Linked DNA regions of Tribolium castaneum. The protein of the gene in region 1 interacts with the protein of each later gene in a biochemical or structural test. Links are inferred from orthologs where the notes say so. Each region holds a gene or a part of one and is shown on either strand. Other genes may lie near its edges. The genes, in order: wts and mats.

Region 1 (4,608 bases):
GCGCTCGCAACGAGGCCTCCTCCGAATAGCCCATGTTGACGAGCTGCGAGAGCGTGTGTCTGAGCTGGAGGACGTCCTTGTCGGTGCCGTTAGTGCCGGACGTCGAGCTCAGCGAGCTCACTCCGCTTGTGGCGGAGAAATTCGAAATGGTGCTGGCCGCACTGGAGCCCACGGCCTCGCCGCCGCTCTTTGCGAACGGGCGCAGCGAGTTCTGGATCTCCTCCATGGCCTTTTGGTGGTAGCCCGGCGAGCGGGCTGGCGCGCTGGGATTCATGTTCAGTTGGGGCCGAGGCTGTTGGCCCATGCTGGGCCCTGCCACTCACTAGCGATTCACATGGCTCCCCGCACATGAGTATGCACTACAATTACGCCCATTCATACATTTTGCATTACATTGGAAGACGAGTTTTGACGCACTCCTGACGATTCTTGCAGTGGATTCGATCGTTCGCGACTTCACGACTGCAATCAAAAACAAAATATTCAAAAATAAAAACACTAGCAGTCAAGGAGTAGGCATTTGCCCCCGCTGTAACAAGTTACCCCCTTATAAAAATAATAAAAAAAAATTTAAGGGCCGGTTTACAGAAAGCTACGTTAAAATTTAATTAGTTGGTAAAAGTTAACAACGCGAATGGACCAACCAAATTGCGTCAATTTGGTCACGTGATCAGTTAATCACGCATTTAATTGGAAATTAAATTAATGACTTAATGAATTTCTTTTTTTTTTTCAAACTATCCAGTCAAGTTTATAAGGTGTTTAATAAAACAACAATGAACCCTCAATGAACCAGAAAACTATGTTTATTTCTTTATGTGAAAAAAATACATAGAATAAAATTACAACTTTTTTAAAATAATTTTTTATGCAAGTTAACCCTCAACTTTAAACTGATTTTTCTTAAAATAGAGATTTCAGCGTTGTATCCCTAGACACCTTCCAATTCAAGGAGAATTCTGCAAAAATCTCCAACTCCGAAAATAAGAGTATGAGTTGATTTCTAGTGCGATGTGAAACGTCGCTCTGCACATTGCAAAATATAAAATGTTGTTAAATTTGGTAGCTTTCTGCATAATTTCGCCTAATTTAAATTTAAAAAATAACAACAGGTAACCGCACGATTAAGCTTTGCAAAACTTCAATGAAGAATGGAAATATTCATGAACGCATAAATCATGCTTCACTGCTTTGTTAATGTGCCGTGGATCCTCGAAGATGCACGTGAAAATGACGTTTTCGTTTTTACAGGGAAGTGCGAACACAGACATTGTCGCTTTATTTCAATCTAAAAAAATACGGTTACGTTTTTATCAATAATTTGACACGAATTTTATCAAATCGTCGAGTGAAAATTTAATACGTCCATAACGAGCTCTCATACTGTGACCTGTTTTGATAATTCCAAATTACTCAAGAGGAATAGATGCTTGAAATTCCAACGAATTTCTAAAGCGCTGTGATATTTGGAGTTACTCATTTAATGCAACCGGTACATTTTATAAATCATTTTGAGACACGATAAAGATTTACAAGATCTGCACTAACGGAAAGCAAAAAACAGATAAATTAATCAACATTTTTCTTGATCCTTGGACTTCTTAAATAATCCATTTTGCCGTGGAAAAATTTCGGCTTCGAATCGGATGTGTGCGGTTTTATTATTGCAGCCGTAAAACTTCAAGTTATGACAAAAGTTTAGTGGAATTTTTTGATAAACGAGATTCTTCCTTTGTGGTAAAACTTTTGATCTCAAATAAAATTATATTAACACTGACACTGTATATAAATATTTTTAGAAAACTATTTAAAAAACGCATAAACCACAAAATATGCAGTCGCCAGTCGGTATTTAATAATAATAATGAATTCATTCAGCTCTCACAAATCGTGATTTTACACTCTGCTAGATTTTAACCATTGATGTCAATTTCTTGTTAATTCATTACGTAATGAGCACCAATAACGAGCGGTAAAAAAGGTCGCTTACCAATAAGCGTGCACAATTGCAATTTTTTATGCACCCGTGAAAATCACTTTCAAATAATTATTACTGAAAAAATGTTCTAAATGTGACCTCAATTACATTTGCATTTGGATTGTTTTTATTTTAATAAACACCAAAATCGCTCCTAGTTGCTAAATGAAGAAGTCTCCGAGGAATAATTGGAGTGGTTGTGTCTTTGTATGGCATGTTTTAATTGATTAATTTACATTCTTATGGTCCAGTTTGGTGATTTGCTTTCATAAAAAGCTGCAACTATGACAATTAGCTGCGGAGATTAGGAAGAGAAGCGAATTTTGTGCGTTAGTTGAGACAAATCAGGGGGCGTTTGGTGTGGATTAAAGCGTAGGCTAAAATGGGAATAAATCGGTGTAAAGATTAGGCATAGCATCTGTCATAGTGTATGGGATACAGTGCTTCAGGCGCTAGTAGAGCTATGTGCCAAATTACAATCAAATGTCTCACTCGCACGGCATTCCAGTCATACATTCTTTGGCATTGTGCGTGACATCTAATCTGTTACTGTCTAACACCAATTCATCTCATCAAGGATAAATTTATTTAAACAACCTAGCCAACAATTACCTTTTATTCTTCTAAAACAAATGGAATCTGCTGCAAGAACTGACAGATTTTGAAGTGTCAATTGTCAATCTATCTCATTCTATGTGGAGGAATTTATGAACACTTAACACATTATTTCCATCATAGGGCTTCTACACTACGCTACGTCGCACGCACCACACAATAAACTTTTAATTACATTCAACTGTACGGTTATTTAAAGCTAAATCACTTTTTAAGGCACTTAAATCTGTAATGAAAACAAAGACAATTTACCAAGATTCAGATACCAGCCATCTTACACAGTGTCAAATTCCAGAATCTGCCAACCTTAGAAAACTATTTATTTAGAACTAAATGCCATTGCTTTAGCTCACGAATCGTGTCTGCACCCAGACAATTACTTGGAAATTATAAAACATCCCATTTTTTCCAGCTGAGTATTTATTAATGCCTTGTTTCGTCCATTTTTAGTTGAAAATAATGTGACGCCTAGTTCCCTCCGTTTTCTCAATTTGGCAGCTATGCGCGCTGCTTGCGACAATGGAGATAGCGTTTGTTCCATAAGCGTATCAAAGGTGTTCAAATTAGAAATTATTATTTCTTTTGTGAGCTTTTTTTTAGATCTAATATAAATGATTTGAAAAGTAAAATGCTAACTTAAATTGTGCTAAAGTTACATAATTTAAACATCTGCCCAGATGCAAAATAAACATGCATGGTATTTGATAGTTTCAGTCTCTACGCCCCTGATTTAAAATATTTACAGATTTAAAAATCAAAAAAAAGGTCATAATAGGCGTTTTATCTTTGTCTTTCTCCGTCAATCTGTCTTTGTTTCAGCAATGTGACCGAGTATGTGTGGAATAGAAAAATAAAAATTATGATATAACACAATTTTTATGAAATAAACAAGTATCCTTAAATAATTAAAACTGGATACGTGAGGTCCTTCTTCAATTTTCGTCAACTGTCACATCAAGAAGTTTTAGAATTGAGGTTACACCTAACCTCAACTCAATTTTTAAGCCGAAAATGGGAAAAGTCATGTCTTTAATGGGTCGTCCTTTTCGGACTTTTAACATCGAGAGTAGAGCACACAAAATTATATCCAAAGATAAGCCAACTCCAGCTCCCAAACACAAAAGTGATCAACTAGATTATGAAAGATTAATGAGAGGTGAGTTTGTTTATTCGAAAGGGCTTGAGTAATGTAATATTCTTGAAGAGTATCCTGAAGAATTTAGGGAAGGCCAGAAAAAACACCAACAGTTGGATAACTACTTAAAAGATGTTTATGTGACCTCACATGACCCTGTAAGTAAATTAAAAAAAAAAACGTCAAATTTGCAAATATTTTTTTAGAATCCGGTGCAAGAACAGAAAATAAACCCCAACAGACCTCTTCCTCTTAACAGGCAACAAGTTGAGGATTTTGAATATGGGGTTAAAGAACCTGAAAAAATTCCAGAAGGGAGGGCCTCACTAAAACAAGTCCTTAAGTTTGTGACAGACCACCAACACGATCGTAGACTACATAGTGTTGAAGCTATTTCTAAGGAGTATAAATTACCCGAAGAAATAACAAGTAATTTTCCATTGTTTTAAGCCAATATAGCCAATGATCTGTTGCAGAAAATGTTTTAAAATATTATAAAGTTTTTGAAGTCTATATTCCTGAACAAAGAAGAGTTAAAGCCAAGTTTGCTGGGCCTAGTGTACCCAGAATTAGAGTCATGCCAAAACTTAGAAAACAACTGTTACCTGGGAAAGAAGACAAGGGGGATACCTGACAATGTAACTGAAATTTAGTTCAATTTAAATAGTTTATTTATAGCAAAAAAAAATAAAAAACTTAAAAGTAGTTACGCTACTTTATCCATCTCCAAATTGTTCCGTATAGGGTCCTCCTTCACCCATCGGAATTGGGGATGAAACATTTTTTATCAAATCCGCAAAGGAATATATCGCGAAGATTATGATTAAGGGGATTAAAAAGTGTCGGATTTTAGTCATTTTTTCAGTGTTTTACAGCCGTT
Region 2 (3,538 bases), on another chromosome or scaffold:
GAGGGCAATGAGTAAAGACAAGGGGCACATGCAGCATAGATATATTGAGTTGTTTTTAAATTCGGCGGGGGCTGATAATGGAAATTCCGGTTACGTTACCGGACGGAGAAGGGTTTAGTTTAAAAAAAAAACAAGACTTTGAAAGTATTTATCTATCTAGGAATATTTTTTTACTTAAATTTGGATTCTTATTTTTGTATTGTTGTGTTCAAATGACGTACAAAACGCCGGCCAAGGTTTGGTTTGTTTCTGTTTCAGAGGTTACTCGGATGAGAAATCCAATTTACCCTCCATTACTAATTGTAATTAAGCAGTTTTATAAATGAATTAATTTTTAGTAAATAAATTATTAATTCGAGTAATTTTCCTAGTATTATTATCCTCCCTAAACTAATTACAAGAATCTGTATTATTAGCCAACTGTGAGGTTTGCGGTACAAAAGTAACACTTGAACATCTATGAACGTGTATATTGATTCTAAAAATAGTTTTATAATATACATGGTTAGAAATTTCGTTCAAGCAAGCGACTAGATGTGAAATCGAATAAAAGCGCAATTTATTGTGGTCAATAAAATACAAAAAAAACCTAATCATAGGCTCGAAAAAAACAGGAACAAAAATATAATAAATAATAATATAGGAAAAAAATGAAGCTTAATTAACAAACATTGATAAAACAACACTCAGTAGTAGTAAATTGTCGTTTCCTACGTGGTTAAGTGCAATAAATAAGTTGTTATCTTGTTTTAAGTATACCGGGTGTTCCGTCTAATCCCCACGTTAGTAGTATTGAAAGTTCTAACAAAGATGTTTATTTGAAAGTTGGTACTCAGCCATAATCCGTTGAATTTTGCTCAATGAACCCAAGAGATATGGTTGTATACAAATTTTCAGATGACTATCATTATTCGAACTACTAAAACTTCTAATGTGGGGTTTAGACGGAACACCCTGTAGATAGTGCCCCCTAACCCTGTTCCAGTGGCACTTCCCTCATTTTCATCGTGCTTCCTTTGCTGTCAATTTATCGATCAATTCTTGAAGGGGGGCTTGTTCTCGTCGTTCAATTAAACTAAATTCCTGTCAAAAGCACAGAAAAATTGTGGAAATCCCCAAATTTTCTCCTCACCTGCACGAAGAAAATAAAATGTTTGAAAGAGGTATTAAGATGTGCCTCTTCCCCTAATTGCACCACTTGACTAAAATGTTGATGGTAAATGTGTGCATAAACTCGGAAAAGTCTCTTAAGGATAGTCTTAGCAATCGAGAGGAAATTTTTCGGAAATGGAACTCCGATTTTCGAGGGAAAAAGTGTCTCATCATCAAGTTGGTCCTGCACCCATGTCATGAGATAATCGATGTATTTGGGCGCAGAGCACTTGATGGGTTTCTTAACAGTGTGCCCATCGGCCCAATGGTACTCATATTTGGGGCCCGCTGACATTATGGGACAACTCTCTTCAGTGCAAAACTCTGTTATGGTCCCGTACAACATATTGATTTGGTTAAAGAAATCAACGGCTGTGGAACAAGAGGGCTGTATTTTGGGGTGCATACAAAAGGGGTACATACTGTTGACGGCCACCCACTCGTTTAGGTCTTCGCCCTCGGGGAGCATCACCGCTAAACGCAAATTACCAGAACCTAAAGTGGCAGCAGCGTGTTTCATCAGCTCGTACTGATGGGTGCCTTCAGGGATGTTTTTCTTGGGCTTGAACGTCTTTGACGAACGGCTGCCGCTACAAGGGGGCTGGTAAAGGGGCGCACTGGGACTGGGGGGCTACTTACAAAAGGAAACTCATCGTGACTGCGCTCAACTCACTCAAAGGCAAAATGGGACACAATCACAGGAAATAAACCCATAATCCATCGACCAGAAACAATTATTCACGATGAAAGTCTTATCGGTACAATTTTCGTGACCTTGGAATGGCAATTGTCAAAAACAAGCGCCACATTTGAATTTTTCGCGTAATTTGGGCGCAAACAAACGTAATAATTAACACTCGGAGCGCTAACAATTTATAATTAAATGGAACGCAAGAACTGTGCTGCAGTTATCACGTAAATGTAATTTTCGCCAAAATTTCGTACCGGGTTTTTTGCCGCGTTAAGTTGTCACTTGACCTAACCTTACTTAAAAAAAAATGCGTTAACACATTTAACGTGTTTTATGTGATATTTTGTGGAAAATCATTAAATAATACTGCAAGTCGTTCGTTATGGCCCCCATTCTTAATTTGAAATTGACCACAAGTCACAAATTTTGCCCCGACAGCCCCCTTCTGAATGCCCTAAAATCATGCAATGACGATTCCCTCTATAAAAAACTGATCGACGAAATCGTAATTATTAATGCAGGGTGTACAGTGCGAAATTGACGATTTTTTCCAGCTTGACACCTACCACCATCATCAGGACTTTGGCGCCCGAAACGTCATAATCGAAGCGTTAATTAACACAAACGGGCGCAAAAATTTGCTCAAATACATGTACAAGCAGTTAAATGTGCGCCAAATTGGCCAAAGTAGTTTTTTCGAACACATTGCATCAAGTGTGATGAATGAATGTAGAGAAAATTTCGATAATTTTGTTTTCAGTTTAACGTTGTGCGAGAAAGTCGTGCAGTTTTTTGCGTGTTTTATTCAAAATTTTCCCGATGATTTTCTAGAAAAGACGTTTTTGTTTTATTTCTACAGTCTGGAGGCGCTTCAATCGTAAGTTGGCTGTGATCAAGTCAAATTTTTATTGTTTGTCGTAGCCATGGTAACGATTGTTACGTGAGTATGGTTTTGAAACAGTTGGCTGTGACGTTACCACATGCCAATATGAAACAATTGAGTAACTATGCCCTTGAAATGGTTGTTATGACTTTTGAGATTTTGCAAAATTGCGAATTTAAATTTGAGACGATTTTGGACAGTTTCGTGGTTTTTTCGTACTTCTCAACCCTTTTGCCTGCAAAAGAAACAATTTTTTTGGTAAGTTTTCAATTTTGGGAGCAATTTGTAATTTTTTGTTCATAGAAACACCGAAATTACCCCATTTTGGAGTTTATAGATAACGAAAAAAATGATTTTTGTTTGATTCTCCAAAGTAAAAATTTTCCGAATTTATTCAAAACTGGTCGTTTGAAAGCAATTCTTTACTTGACTATTTCAAACACTGTACCACGTGACGTCCTTTTGAACGTAAAAGTGGCCAAAAAACCGCTTTACGAATCACTTTATACAAACTTAATTGATTTAGGGATGAGGTAAATCCCCGAAAAGTCCGTTACCTAGTTACTTATTTTTTTCCAGTTTGACAAACTTCCCCGACCCAATTGTCCCCATAACACGAACTTTGGACTCACTTTCGGTCTTAATTACACGTTCGTCGAACTTTTCGGAACTTTTTATCAAAAGTTTCGACTTTATTTGGACACATTTGGACCACTTCGTCGATCAGGTGACCCAAAACACGAAATCACTCTTTGAAAAATTGACAATTGAAGCACAAAAACGTGGCGAAAAGTTGGCGTTGGAAAAACTCA

What was found.
Region 2: of the proteins of wts (region 1) and mats, one has a biochemical effect on the other in vitro, tested with the Drosophila melanogaster proteins (2 studies listed by BioGRID). The link is inferred for Tribolium castaneum from reciprocal best matches to the Drosophila melanogaster genes wts and mats.

The regions. Positions count from the first base shown.
Region 1 is NC_087397.1:10,568,268-10,572,875, forward strand, and holds the start of wts (serine/threonine-protein kinase Warts), read right to left. Parts: upstream 2,903-4,608; 5' UTR 2,591-2,902; intron 463-2,590; 5' UTR 305-462; coding exon 1-304. Other genes in the region: protein NDUFAF4 homolog, read left to right, coding at 3,605-3,749, 3,798-3,886, 3,935-4,157, 4,205-4,362. UniProt on the Drosophila melanogaster protein: Negative regulator of Yorkie (Yki) in the Hippo/SWH (Sav/Wts/Hpo) signaling pathway that plays a pivotal role in organ size control and tumor suppression by restricting proliferation and promoting apoptosis.
Region 2 is NC_087400.1:149,408-152,945, forward strand, and holds mats (MOB kinase activator 1B), read right to left. Parts: upstream 1,952-3,538; 5' UTR 1,806-1,951; coding exon 1,792-1,805; intron 1,743-1,791; coding exon 1,133-1,742; intron 1,084-1,132; coding exon 1,003-1,083; 3' UTR 538-1,002; downstream 1-537. Other genes in the region: heterogeneous nuclear ribonucleoprotein H, read left to right, coding at 1-118; tRNA (32-2'-O)-methyltransferase regulator THADA, read left to right, coding at 2,226-2,348, 2,398-2,720, 2,765-2,984, 3,030-3,259, 3,306-3,538. UniProt on the Drosophila melanogaster protein: Coactivator of Warts (Wts) kinase in the Hippo/SWH (Sav/Wts/Hpo)signaling pathway, a signaling pathway that plays a pivotal role in organ size control and tumor suppression by restricting proliferation and promoting apoptosis.